Linked DNA regions of Neurospora crassa OR74A. Each later gene encodes a partner of the first gene's protein in a complex. Links are inferred from orthologs where the notes say so. Each region holds a gene or a part of one and is shown on either strand. Other genes may lie near its edges.

What was found. The genes of interacting proteins can lie anywhere in the genome.
Region 2: the proteins of NCU04548 (region 1) and NCU10155 are in contact, whole or in part, in a cryo-EM structure (PDB 6WJV), measured with the Saccharomyces cerevisiae proteins. The link is inferred for Neurospora crassa OR74A from reciprocal best matches to the Saccharomyces cerevisiae genes POL2 and DPB2. Residues at the interface, in NP_014137.1 of Saccharomyces cerevisiae: Asp1115, Ile1116, Pro1117, Glu1133, Tyr1327, Asp1329, Ser1330, Glu1332, Pro1333, Gln1369, Glu1410, Lys1411, Asn1413, Cys1414, Ser1416, Phe1418, Asn1419, Gly1425, Val1426, Phe1427, Glu1428, Pro1595, Phe1596, Thr1598, Lys1599, Gly1602, Thr1603, Leu1606, Lys1614, Leu1617; in NP_015501.2 of Saccharomyces cerevisiae: Phe207, Leu208, Pro209, Ile211, Phe218, Leu219, Tyr222, Leu287, Asn289, Asn291, Phe292, Glu299, Asp300, Pro301, Asp409, Asp410, Leu411, Lys412, Ile413, Ser440, Val441, Pro442, Val443, Phe444, Ala445, Ser446, Met447, Ser448, Ser449, Arg450.

What each region holds. Positions count from the first base shown.
Region 1 is NC_026507.1:1,470,966-1,476,288, forward strand, and holds the start of NCU04548 (DNA polymerase epsilon), read left to right. Parts: upstream 1-1,796; 5' UTR 1,797-2,056; coding exon 2,057-2,682; intron 2,683-2,747; coding exon 2,748-2,893; intron 2,894-2,946; coding exon 2,947-5,323. Other genes in the region: NCU04549 (hypothetical protein), read right to left, coding at 177-854. UniProt on the Saccharomyces cerevisiae protein: Catalytic component of the DNA polymerase epsilon complex which participates in chromosomal DNA replication.
Region 2 is NC_026505.1:1,592,155-1,597,257, reverse strand, and holds NCU10155 (DNA polymerase epsilon subunit B), read right to left. Parts: upstream 3,549-5,103; 5' UTR 3,416-3,548; coding exon 2,637-3,415; intron 2,578-2,636; coding exon 801-2,577; 3' UTR 279-800; downstream 1-278. Other genes in the region: NCU10156 (hypothetical protein), read right to left, coding at 1-133; NCU04588 (hypothetical protein), read left to right, coding at 3,797-3,883, 4,001-4,500, 4,574-4,655. UniProt on the Saccharomyces cerevisiae protein: As accessory component of the DNA polymerase epsilon complex participates in chromosomal DNA replication.

The sequences.
Region 1 (5,323 bases):
GCCATTGTGCGTAATGAATCCAGACAACGCCCCTTAACTTCAAAAGGTATCGATATATGTCCGTGCAAGTCATAACCTACATCTCCTACTCCTAGCTATGCCCTTCTTCACCTCTATCCTAACACAACGTCTCACCTCAGCACATCAAAGAAGCCCTCTCACCTCCTCACCCCCCCTCACCAAAACTTGTACCAGCTCTTCTTCTTCTCGCCCCCAGGTGCAGTCATCGACGTGCCCTGCACCACCTCCCCCTTTTCCGCCGCCTTCTTCTCCTTCGCCTCTTTAGCTTCCTTGGCCCTATTCTCCGCCTGCTTCTTCGTATAGACCGCCACCACCCTCTGCATCTTCTCCTTCTCCTTCCTCCTCTGCCACTGGCAGTACTCGTACTGCGCCATCGCCCCCACGATCCCGCACCCTACACCCCAGTTGGCCGCTTTCGGGATGGGCAGGCCCATGATCCACCGCAACACACCGATGCCTGCGCCGGCGCCGATGCCTGTCATGAAGCCTTGGCGGGCGCAGGGCGTTTCGTGCACGGAGAGGAAGTCGGAGGGGGAGATGGTGGAGGCGACTTCGGTGAGGGAGATGCGGTTGGATGAGTGGGTGGTGGGTTTTTGTTGTTTTTGTTGTTGTTGGGAGGGTTGTTGCTGTTGTTGCTGGCCTGGGACTACTTGTGGTGTGGTGTTGTTGGACTGTGGTGGTTGTTGTTGGAGGTCTTGAGAGGGCGCAAATGGAGCAGGAGGGGGAGGGGGAGAGCCGCCGCTGCCGCCGCTTAGCCAGGAGCGGGCGGCGGCGTCGGGGTTTGTGGGTGTTGTTGTTGTTGTTGTTGATGATGTTGTTTGGTCACGCGTCATGGTTGCGGTTTGCGATGATTGTTGATGGGACGGGCTTCAGTTTCTCTCGTGTTCCGTCTCGAAAATGCGCAGTTCTGTCAGGGCGCAGAGAAAAGTGTGGAGTTGTGCGTGTATGGTAGTTGTGTGAATATATGTGGAAGTCGCTGGTTGTTATTCGCTTGCTGGGATTGCAGTGTTTGAATGGCAGTCACGATATGTATCGGTAAGGTGATGGTGAGTTGAAGTGACGGATTGAGCAGGGAAACGAAGAAAGTGGAATTGGCCAATGGAGACTGCTCATTGACGTTCTCTCCGTCGTCTTCCGCACGGCGGCCGAAGGTGTCGCGGGGAAGCTTTTTTTTTTCTTCCTGGTGGGGACCTTGCGGGATTACGGGGAAGATGCAGGTACTTTAACGCACTTACATGGGGAACATTAGGCGAGCTACCGTAGAGATTCAGCTTCCAATTGTCATCAGAACTTCCGTCTAACAAACACAAGTTAGTAACATCAGTTACACTTCCGCCCTCAGATTCGGAGCCGGCTACGGGACGAGCTCGTACAATGCCCGACCTTCTTAGGTAGAGGTAGCTTTGACTTGGAGATCCAATGGACGGCAACTTGGACGGAGACAACAATGGAAGGTCCAAGCTCCCGTCCCTCCCGATCGGGCCGCTTCATGATTCGAGCATGCCCGCCCCGGCGGAGGGGCCGTGTCCCGAGCTGAGGTAGGTGGAGGGAGCGTCTGCCGGCGGGCAGCCCACTTCCCCACCGCTCCAATCCTTGTTCAGCGCCTTGACGCCCTGTGAGTGCCCTGAAACGATCAGCTTGACTAGTGGGCAATGTGTGCGTTTAGCGCCCGGCGCGTCAGACAAATTGGACCGTCTACCGTACGTAGTCGCGTCTGGCGCGTCTCCCAGTTAAACGACTTTAATGGGTTCCTGAGACTTTCCAAACATTGAAGTGCCTGCCTCCCATCTCACAACCCCATTCTCTTCACCAAACCAAGGGACCCTGTGCCAGCCATACCTCGAATCTTGGCTGGCCCTCCATGTCAACCTACTTGTGAAAAAGACATATTCCTGTTTCTTGTCTCTCCTTCCATTTCCATCCGACTTTTCTTGGATCGAGAGATCCTACCGAACAGGACGGAAAACGGAGGGCAGACCAAAGCACAAGACGAACATCTCGGGGCCTACGCAAGGGCCAATCCAATTCTTCGAATATGCCCAACACTTCTCTAAGGCGACAGCCTCAAAAGGGCTACCGTCGCGGTGGCAAGAACGCCTACCATGGCGGATCCAAAACACGAACGTTCGCTGCCTCGGCCAGCGCCCGCGGCGAGGCTACCTCGACAGACGAAAAATGGGAAAGGACAGCCCTTGCGAACCAGATCGACGAGAACATGGGCTTTGCCCGATACGATGCCGGGAAGAAGCGCGAAGGCTGGCTGGTCAACGTACAACCGACATCCATCGACGACCCCCGTATCCCCGGCGGCGGCGGTCGCGCGGCACTCGACTGCTACTTCATCGAAGAGGACGGGTCAACATTCAAAGCCACAGTCGAATATGAGCCATACTTTCTGGTCGCATGTCGAAAAGGTCACGAAGGCGAGGTCGAGGAGTGGTGCAAGAGAGTGCCTGGTGGCGGCTGCGTCAAGTCCATCCGGCGGGTCGAGAAGGAAGATCTCAAGATGCCCAACCACTTGCTGGGCTATCGTCGAACATTCTTGGAGCTGAGGTTTCATAACGTGCAGGACTTGATGTCCGCCAAGCGCGATGTCATGCCCATTGCGGAAAAGAACAAAAAGGGCATGGATGCCATGGATACATATGCCGAAGTAGCATCGTGGGTTCCTCTCATGTTATCTGTACAGGCTGATCACCGCTGCTGACACATACCCCCCCAATTAGAGCGAACGGCGGGTTTGATCTTTTTGATGACGATTCACGAAATGACGAGCGACGACATAATGCTGGTTTTGCAGAGGCGAGCGATTTCATTGTTGATATCCGGGAATACGACGTCCCATACCATGTGAGAGTAATGATAGACTTGGGTCAGTTCTCCTTGCACACTCCCCAGCGTGTGTGCTTAGCTGACCATCCACAGACATACGAGTTGCTAGATGGTATCATGTCGAGGCCAAGAATGGAGTCACGACAGTAAAAGTAAACGAGGAACGTTTGGCCATGGCCGATCCCGTCGTAATGGCTTTCGATATCGAGACCACCAAGTTGCCCCTCAAGTTTCCCGACGCCGCTATTGACCAGATCATGATGGTCTCATACATGATCGATGGCCAGGGTTTCTTGATCACAAATAGAGAGATTATCTCCGAAGACATTGCTGATTTCGACTACACACCAAAACCCGAGTACCAAGGTCCGTTTATGATCTTCAACGAACCTGACGAAAAGGCCCTTCTCGAAAGATTCTTCCTGCACATCAAGGAGGCCCGACCAACCGTCATCGCCACCTACAACGGTGACTTCTTCGATTGGCCTTTCGTGGAGGCTCGTGCCAGTATCAACGGCATCGACATGTACCACGAGATCGGCTGGAAGAAGGACAGTGAGGATCAGTACAAGTGCAACTACAGTGTGCACATGGACTGCTTTCACTGGGTAAACCGTGACAGTTATCTCCCCCAGGGTAGTAGAGGTCTCAAAGCCGTCACCGTTGCCAAGCTTGGATACGATCCCGATGAACTCGATCCTGAGCTTATGACACCATATGCCAGCGAGAGGCCGCAGACGCTGGCCGAATACTCCGTCTCCGATGCCGTCGCAACATACTATCTGTACATGAAATATGTGCATCCTTTCATCTTCTCTCTCTGTACCATCTTGCCGCTAGGCCCAGACGATACACTAAGAAAGGGAACCGGTACGCTATGCGAGATGTTATTAATGGTACAGGCTTACCAAAAGGAGATTGTGTTACCCAATAAACATGTCCAGCCTAAGGAGTCCTTCTGGGAAGGACACTTGTTGGACTCCGAAACGTACGTTGGTGGTCACGTCGAAAGTATCGAAGCTGGCGTCTTCCGCGCCGATATTCCCGTCAACTTCGCGGTTGACCCTACCGCCGTGGATGAGCTGATTCGGGATCTTGATGCAGCCCTAACGTTCAGTATTACGGTTGAAGAGAAGAAGGAGTTGAGTGATATCGCCAACTACGACGAGGTCAAGGAGCAGATAACGGCCAGGTTGATGAACCTCAAAGAGACGCCCAATCGACTGGAACGGCCGCTCATTTACCATCTTGATGTCGCCTCCATGTACCCCAACATTATGACAACCAACCGATTACAACCCGATTCCATGATCTCCGAGTCAACTTGTGCAGCATGCGACTTCAACCGCCCAGGAAAGACTTGTGACAGAAGACTACCGTGGGCCTGGAGAGGAGAGTACCTGCCAGCCAAGCGCGACGAGTACAACATGATTCGCCATGCACTCGAGAACGAGAGGTTTCCAGGAAAATACCCAAACAGCCCGATGCGGTCATTCCAAGACCTGAGCGCAGACGAACAAGCCACTCTCATCCGAAAGAGACTGCAGCTCTACTCACAAAAGGTGTACCACAAGATCCACGATTCCACCACGATTGTCAGAGAAGCGATCATTTGCCAGCGCGAGAACCCCTTCTACATCAACACAGTCCGTGACTTCCGTGACCGACGATACGACTACAAGGGCAAGGCGAAGGTGTGGAAGGGCAAGACGGATTCGCTCAAGAGCTCGGGCGCATCCGCGTCCGAAATCGATAATGCCAAAAAGATGATTATCTTGTTCGATTCCCTGCAGTTGGCCCACAAGGTCATTCTCAACAGTTTCTACGGATACGTCATGAGAAAGGGATCTAGATGGTACTCGATGGAAATGGCCGGTGTCACCTGTTTGACGGGCGCAACCATTATCCAGTTGGCGAGACAGCTCATTGAGCGACTGGGTCGTCCACTCGAGCTAGACACTGATGGTATCTGGTGCATGTTGCCGGCGACATTCCCAGAGAACTTTGTGTTCAAACTCAAAAATGGCAAGAAAATGACCATCTCGTACCCATGTGTCATGTTGAACCATCTGGTCCATGACAAGTTCACCAACCACCAGTACCAGACTCTGGTCGATCCAAAGACCTTCAAATACGAGACGCACAGCGACAACTCCATCTTCTTCGAAGTCGACGGGCCGTACAAGGCCATGATCCTACCCACCTCCAAAGAAGAAGACAAGAACTTGAAGAAGAGATATGCCGTCTTCAATGACGATGGCAGTCTTGCGGAGCTCAAGGGCTTCGAAGTGAAGCGAAGAGGCGAGTTGAAGCTCATCAAGATTTTCCAGCAGCAGATCTTCAAGTTTTTCCTGGAGGGTACCACCCTGGCGGAATGCTATAATGCTGTCGCCAAGGTCGCTAACCGCTGGCTTGATGTACTGCATAGCAAGGGTGCAACGCTTGCGGATGAAGAACTTATGGAACTGAT
Region 2 (5,103 bases), on another chromosome or scaffold:
TTGGCTTCCATTCCTCCGTTTTGGCGTTCTGTATCTGCACAAGCATCTCGACGATTGATCGGCCATGATGCCGAGCGATCTGGCCAAGCGTCTGCTGACAGTCATCATCCGAATCGTGCAAATCCCTGTTCATGACCTCCGTGTAGCAGACGCTGTAAGATATCGGCAGGCGTCGTGTTGGAAGCTGTCGTCCTATGCCTTGCTTGACTGTTCAGTAGAGTCATCAACATGGAAAAGCCAAAGGGAGAAGAGAAAGAGAGAAGAGTAAACCACACCACGAAGACCAGAAACAACACATTCATGTCGCGGAGGCAGGTACCATTTTAACTTGAATTGATAAACCAATCACCGTTCAACGTGGTCCCTGATGCTCTTGAAGCATGCAACAAGGTATGCTGCTGACAGGAAGGCTGGGGCGTTGCGCTAAGCCGATCTAATCTCCGGTGATATGGTCTCCGTTATAGATAAGCAGGCTGAAGCCTGTTTTCCTCTTCATGCATTGTAAAGGGGAGTACAGCCATGACGTGCAGGTGCTGCACAACAGGGAGCGAGGCGTGAAATCGACGGAAAGAAATTGATGGCGCCTGAGATGCCCACCGTGTTCGAGGTTCGATTGTGCCCTGCCACCGTAGCGTCCGCCCAGCAATACGAGTTACCCTTTTCCCCGATCAGCTTTACAGAGCCAATAGTCCCAGCCCCAAGACCGATTCAAGAGCAAGATCTCCCAGCACAGCCTCGTAATAAGCTCAAGGCAGATTTTTCTCCAGACAATCAAACATTTCACTCGAAATGTGCAAAACTCAGAATGTACACTCCCTAACCCTCCCTCCACCCGTCCCCGTCCCTCCCACTCCCGGTAACTCATACTCAACCCACCGTGCCGCCCCCTTCCTCCCCGGCACTAATATGCTCCCCGGATTCATCACGTGGCACCCCTCATACGTCACGCAAAACGGCGGAGCGGTAGTATCCACCAGTACCATGGCCGTCGGCAGCGGGTAGAGGTACATGGCGGAAGTATAGTCCCAATGTACCGGGCGGATAGCTTGCCGGAAAGGAGCGAGATAGCCTTGGTCGAGAATGGTTTTCACTAGCTTGCGGGCGGCGAGGACGTCGTAGGGTATGGAAGATGGAGGAGGCATGGTAGTCTTTTGGTTAGGGGCAGGGGCAGAATCGACATCCATGGCGTCGGTCATGGTTGTGTCGGCCATGTCTTCGTCGTCAGCATCGGGGGCGTCGGGGAGGGAGGAGGGTGGACATTGGTTATCCATTGCCGAGTCGTCGTTACCATTGGTTGGGGGTTCCGGCTCGACGGAGGCTTTGCTCGTGTTCTTAAGACGGACAGAAGCTCGTCGTAACCGGGCGGAGATGTCATCTCGGAAAAGAACCATTTCGTGACTAGGCCCGAAAAGGGTTATCCTACTTGGGTTGGTTGTCCAGACAGCTTCGCCGCCTCTCCTCTTGCCTGCATCCTTTTCTGTTTCTTTGCCAGGGTTGGCTAGCCCGGCTTCAGCATTCGCTGCTGCGAATACCCTCCTGATGCGGGAAGTAAACAGATCTGGGACGGGTTTCCTCGGCAAAGGAGTTGCCGCACCACCTGAGAAGGCAGACACCCACCCGTCGTTGTCACCTGGCACAAAAACAAAGGTAGCCGTCGTGAGCAGACTAGGGAAATCCGCCAGTGTCGATGCCAACGCATCGAAAAACTCCTTGTACTCAATACTCCCCCCACTCCCGCCCCTCGCCATGACAGCATGCTGCGTGAAGTTACCCGCCAGCACAAACGTCATGGGTGTACACCCTTCAGGATCACTAGCATAGAGACCCAAGATTTTTCTCAGTGCCTGCAAACTCCTCGGCTGATCTAGGTTTAGTTCGCCAATAATCACTGCCCTACCCCTCGACGGCCTGCCATCCTCCAACAGCGCTGGTTGCCGAAGAATTCTGTGCTCCAACTTGCGCATTTTGGACCCGACTGCCCTCTCGCTACCTACGCCCAGGAAGTCGATCCAGCCGAATCCGCCGCCAATGGTATGATCAGCGCCGGTGCCGTCGGGCCCACTAACCCCGAGCGTAACGCGGCGCTTTTCGCATGGTGGCTGGCCGATGAAGAAACCTTGGAACCGGCCGCCGATGGTACCGCCCACACCGCTGCTACCACTGAGACCGTTGCCCATGGTCATGGTTTCCTCCTCCTCTTCGTAGACGCCGTCGATGAGAACAATCATTCCCGGCGTAAACCAGGCAGAATCTTCAGGGATGGCGACAGCGTGAGAGAGGTCGAGAGTAATGGTGCCCGTCAGGTCGCTGATGGCAAGAGAGCCAGTGGGAAGGACAACAAGCATGCCCAGCAGCATGTGGTTGCTGCCATGGCGGCCGAGCAGGTTGGCGATTGGGGTAATCTTGTGGGAGGAGAGGCCGTTGGCGTTGGTTCGTTGGCGCAAGCTGGAGCCTTGGACGGAGGAGGATTGAAAGGCTTCGTTGCGAAGGATGCGCTGATGAATAACGTTGTAGCGGTTGCGGAAGGCATCGGTTTTGTGAGAGGCGGCTGGTAGTAGGGAGGGTTTGGAAGGATCCCTACAAAGGTTAGCTGTGTAACCTATGTAAAGAGGGTAATAAATAATAAGGGACCATACCTCTCAAAATGCTTCTTTCCAACATTATACATCAACCGTGGTTGATCGAAAGCATGTATAACCTTCAGCCACCTCCTAACATCTCTCACCGAATCGTCTTCCGGCTCTTCTGTGAACTCCAACCCAGACATGCCAAAGCTGGCGTTGCTGTCCTCCCGGGTTAATGATGGCACGGGCCGAAGTCCGAGTCGACTATGCGCATGTTGTTCGTCTTGGTCGGGCTCTAGCAAGAGACTGTTTTGTCTGCTCAAGCTTCGTGGCCCGGTCAGGATCTTTCCTCCGCTCATGTTTCCCTCGAGGGTCTTGAGAATGTCCTTGAGCTCGGGGCTGTTGCCTTCCACGATGACGCCGCCATTGCGGTTCTTCCAACTCCTTGCTACCTCTTCTAGCACCTTTTCGGCCAGGCCTTCTTCCCTCCATCCTGAGCCACAGTGTCTACCGATAAAGGTTGCGAGCTCTTGTAGGGCAGTTGATGTAAGTGTTAGGCTGTGTTTCTTGGTAAACGTTCGGAAGGCGAGCGGTCGTAGTGTCGCCGGCGGAAGGATGATGGGCAGGATTGCGGCTTTTGTGAGGACTGGGGGTTGGAACGGCTTCAGTGGATGTACTGGAGTAGCGAAGGCGGGCGAGGACGAGGGTATCGGGTTGGATGGGCCCGCTGGGGTCTTGGGCGCAAAGAAGCCGGCGGCGGCTGCTGCTTGTGGCTGCGGTCGAGATGGTCTGTCTTGGGCGTTTGTCTGGCCGGTTTTCGTCCGCTTTTGGCGGGGACTTTGAACGATCATTGTGTCTGTGGTCTGGATAGCTCGACTAAACTTGCAATTTAGTATAGTCGGTTACAATTGGCCGTCTACCAGTCTGTTCGTGGTGGTGATATCCGTCATTGTCACTGTCTGGAAGACGCGTAAATTGAGAAACGAAGCAGGGGACCAGACGCGTTCTAGTGGGGCTCACCCCAGATTTCAGCCAATACGGGCTCCACAATGTCAGAAACAGGGGCATCAAGGGCCACCTACCCTGGTTGCCGCCGGCAGCGCTAGAGAGGTACCTACAGCAGGTACCTACGCTACAAGTAGACGCACGAACAGCACCAGAGTGACATCAACTAACTTTTGACGCCATCACCAACCTTTTCATTCTCGATATCAGATTCAATACAGCCAGTCATGATGCTTACTACAAGATTTCGTGTAGTTCCTACGCTACGAAGCGCAGTCAGGTCATTCACGACCTTGCCGTCCAACCCAAACATTGCAAGTCATCCATCCACCTCTCCACCAACAACCCCACCCGCACTTACACCACAACCCCCATCCTCACCACATCACCACACAACAACTCAAACACCATACTAACACCCATCACCACAGAAAGTCTTTCCCCACCCAAACGACCCAAAAAGCTACATCCTCTCCCTCCTCCCCACGACCCCTCCCCCACCCACCCTCTCCATCGGCACCACCACCGCCCTACCCCCAACTCCCCAGTCCTTCACCACCAACCCCCACTTTCTTTCCATCCTCAACTCCGTCCTCGCCGAACACGCCTACTCCGACCCCGGTCTTCAATCACAAGCCCAAGCCTTTGCTTCCCCAGCCGGTTTCTCCTTCCTTCCTCGTCCTGGCTCGAGAAAGGTAGGCAAAAAGGGCAGCGACACGGGCGCCGGCGGGGCGTCAGCGGAGGGAGGCGCGGGAGGCGCGGGCAGGGGAGGATGGGTGCACTTGAGTGATGAGAGGACGCCAGTGGATTTCGGAAGGATTGCGTGGCCCGAGGATATCTTTGGGAGCGTGGAGGTGGATGGGCAGGGAAAGATGATCGAGGGGACGTTCCAGGGGAGTGGGACTTATCGGGTTGTTACGAATCAGGGCATGTGAGTATTTTTACTTTGGTGAGGTGAGGTGAGGTGGGTTGACGTGGTTGCTAACTGTTGGGATTGGTTACAGCTTGGGACTAAGTCCGTTTTTGATGGAGAGGTTGGTTGCGAGGTTCAAGGAGGAGGAGGCGAAAGAGAAGCAGAAAGCTTGAGAGGAGATGTTTGGGGTTTGAAGGATGTGGGTGGTGAGAGCGGATGTACAATAGGTGAGCGGTCCGTTTGATGTGTCGCTACACTTCATGCTGTTGTCCAAAATAAAGGGGAGACGTACGTCTTGGGGTTCGATTCGTCAATGAGTAATGTCCTAAATTTTCAAACAATTTACTGGGAGATCTGACATATGTCCTAATCAAACAGTGAAGGACTGAAAGGATGTGAGCGACGAAGCATTTCAACGCTGACTGATCCGTTTTGTATATGTAAGTGGAAGCTCGACTACTGCCTGAGGTGGGATACAAGATCCGAGAGAGAAGAAAGAACCAAAAGAAGAACGTGATTCAAAGTGAAAGTGAACAGGATAAAGATGAGAATAGAGAGGGAGAAAAAAAAAAGAAAAGAAAAAAAACATACAACACCAGGGATTCGCTGGTCGTCACCGAC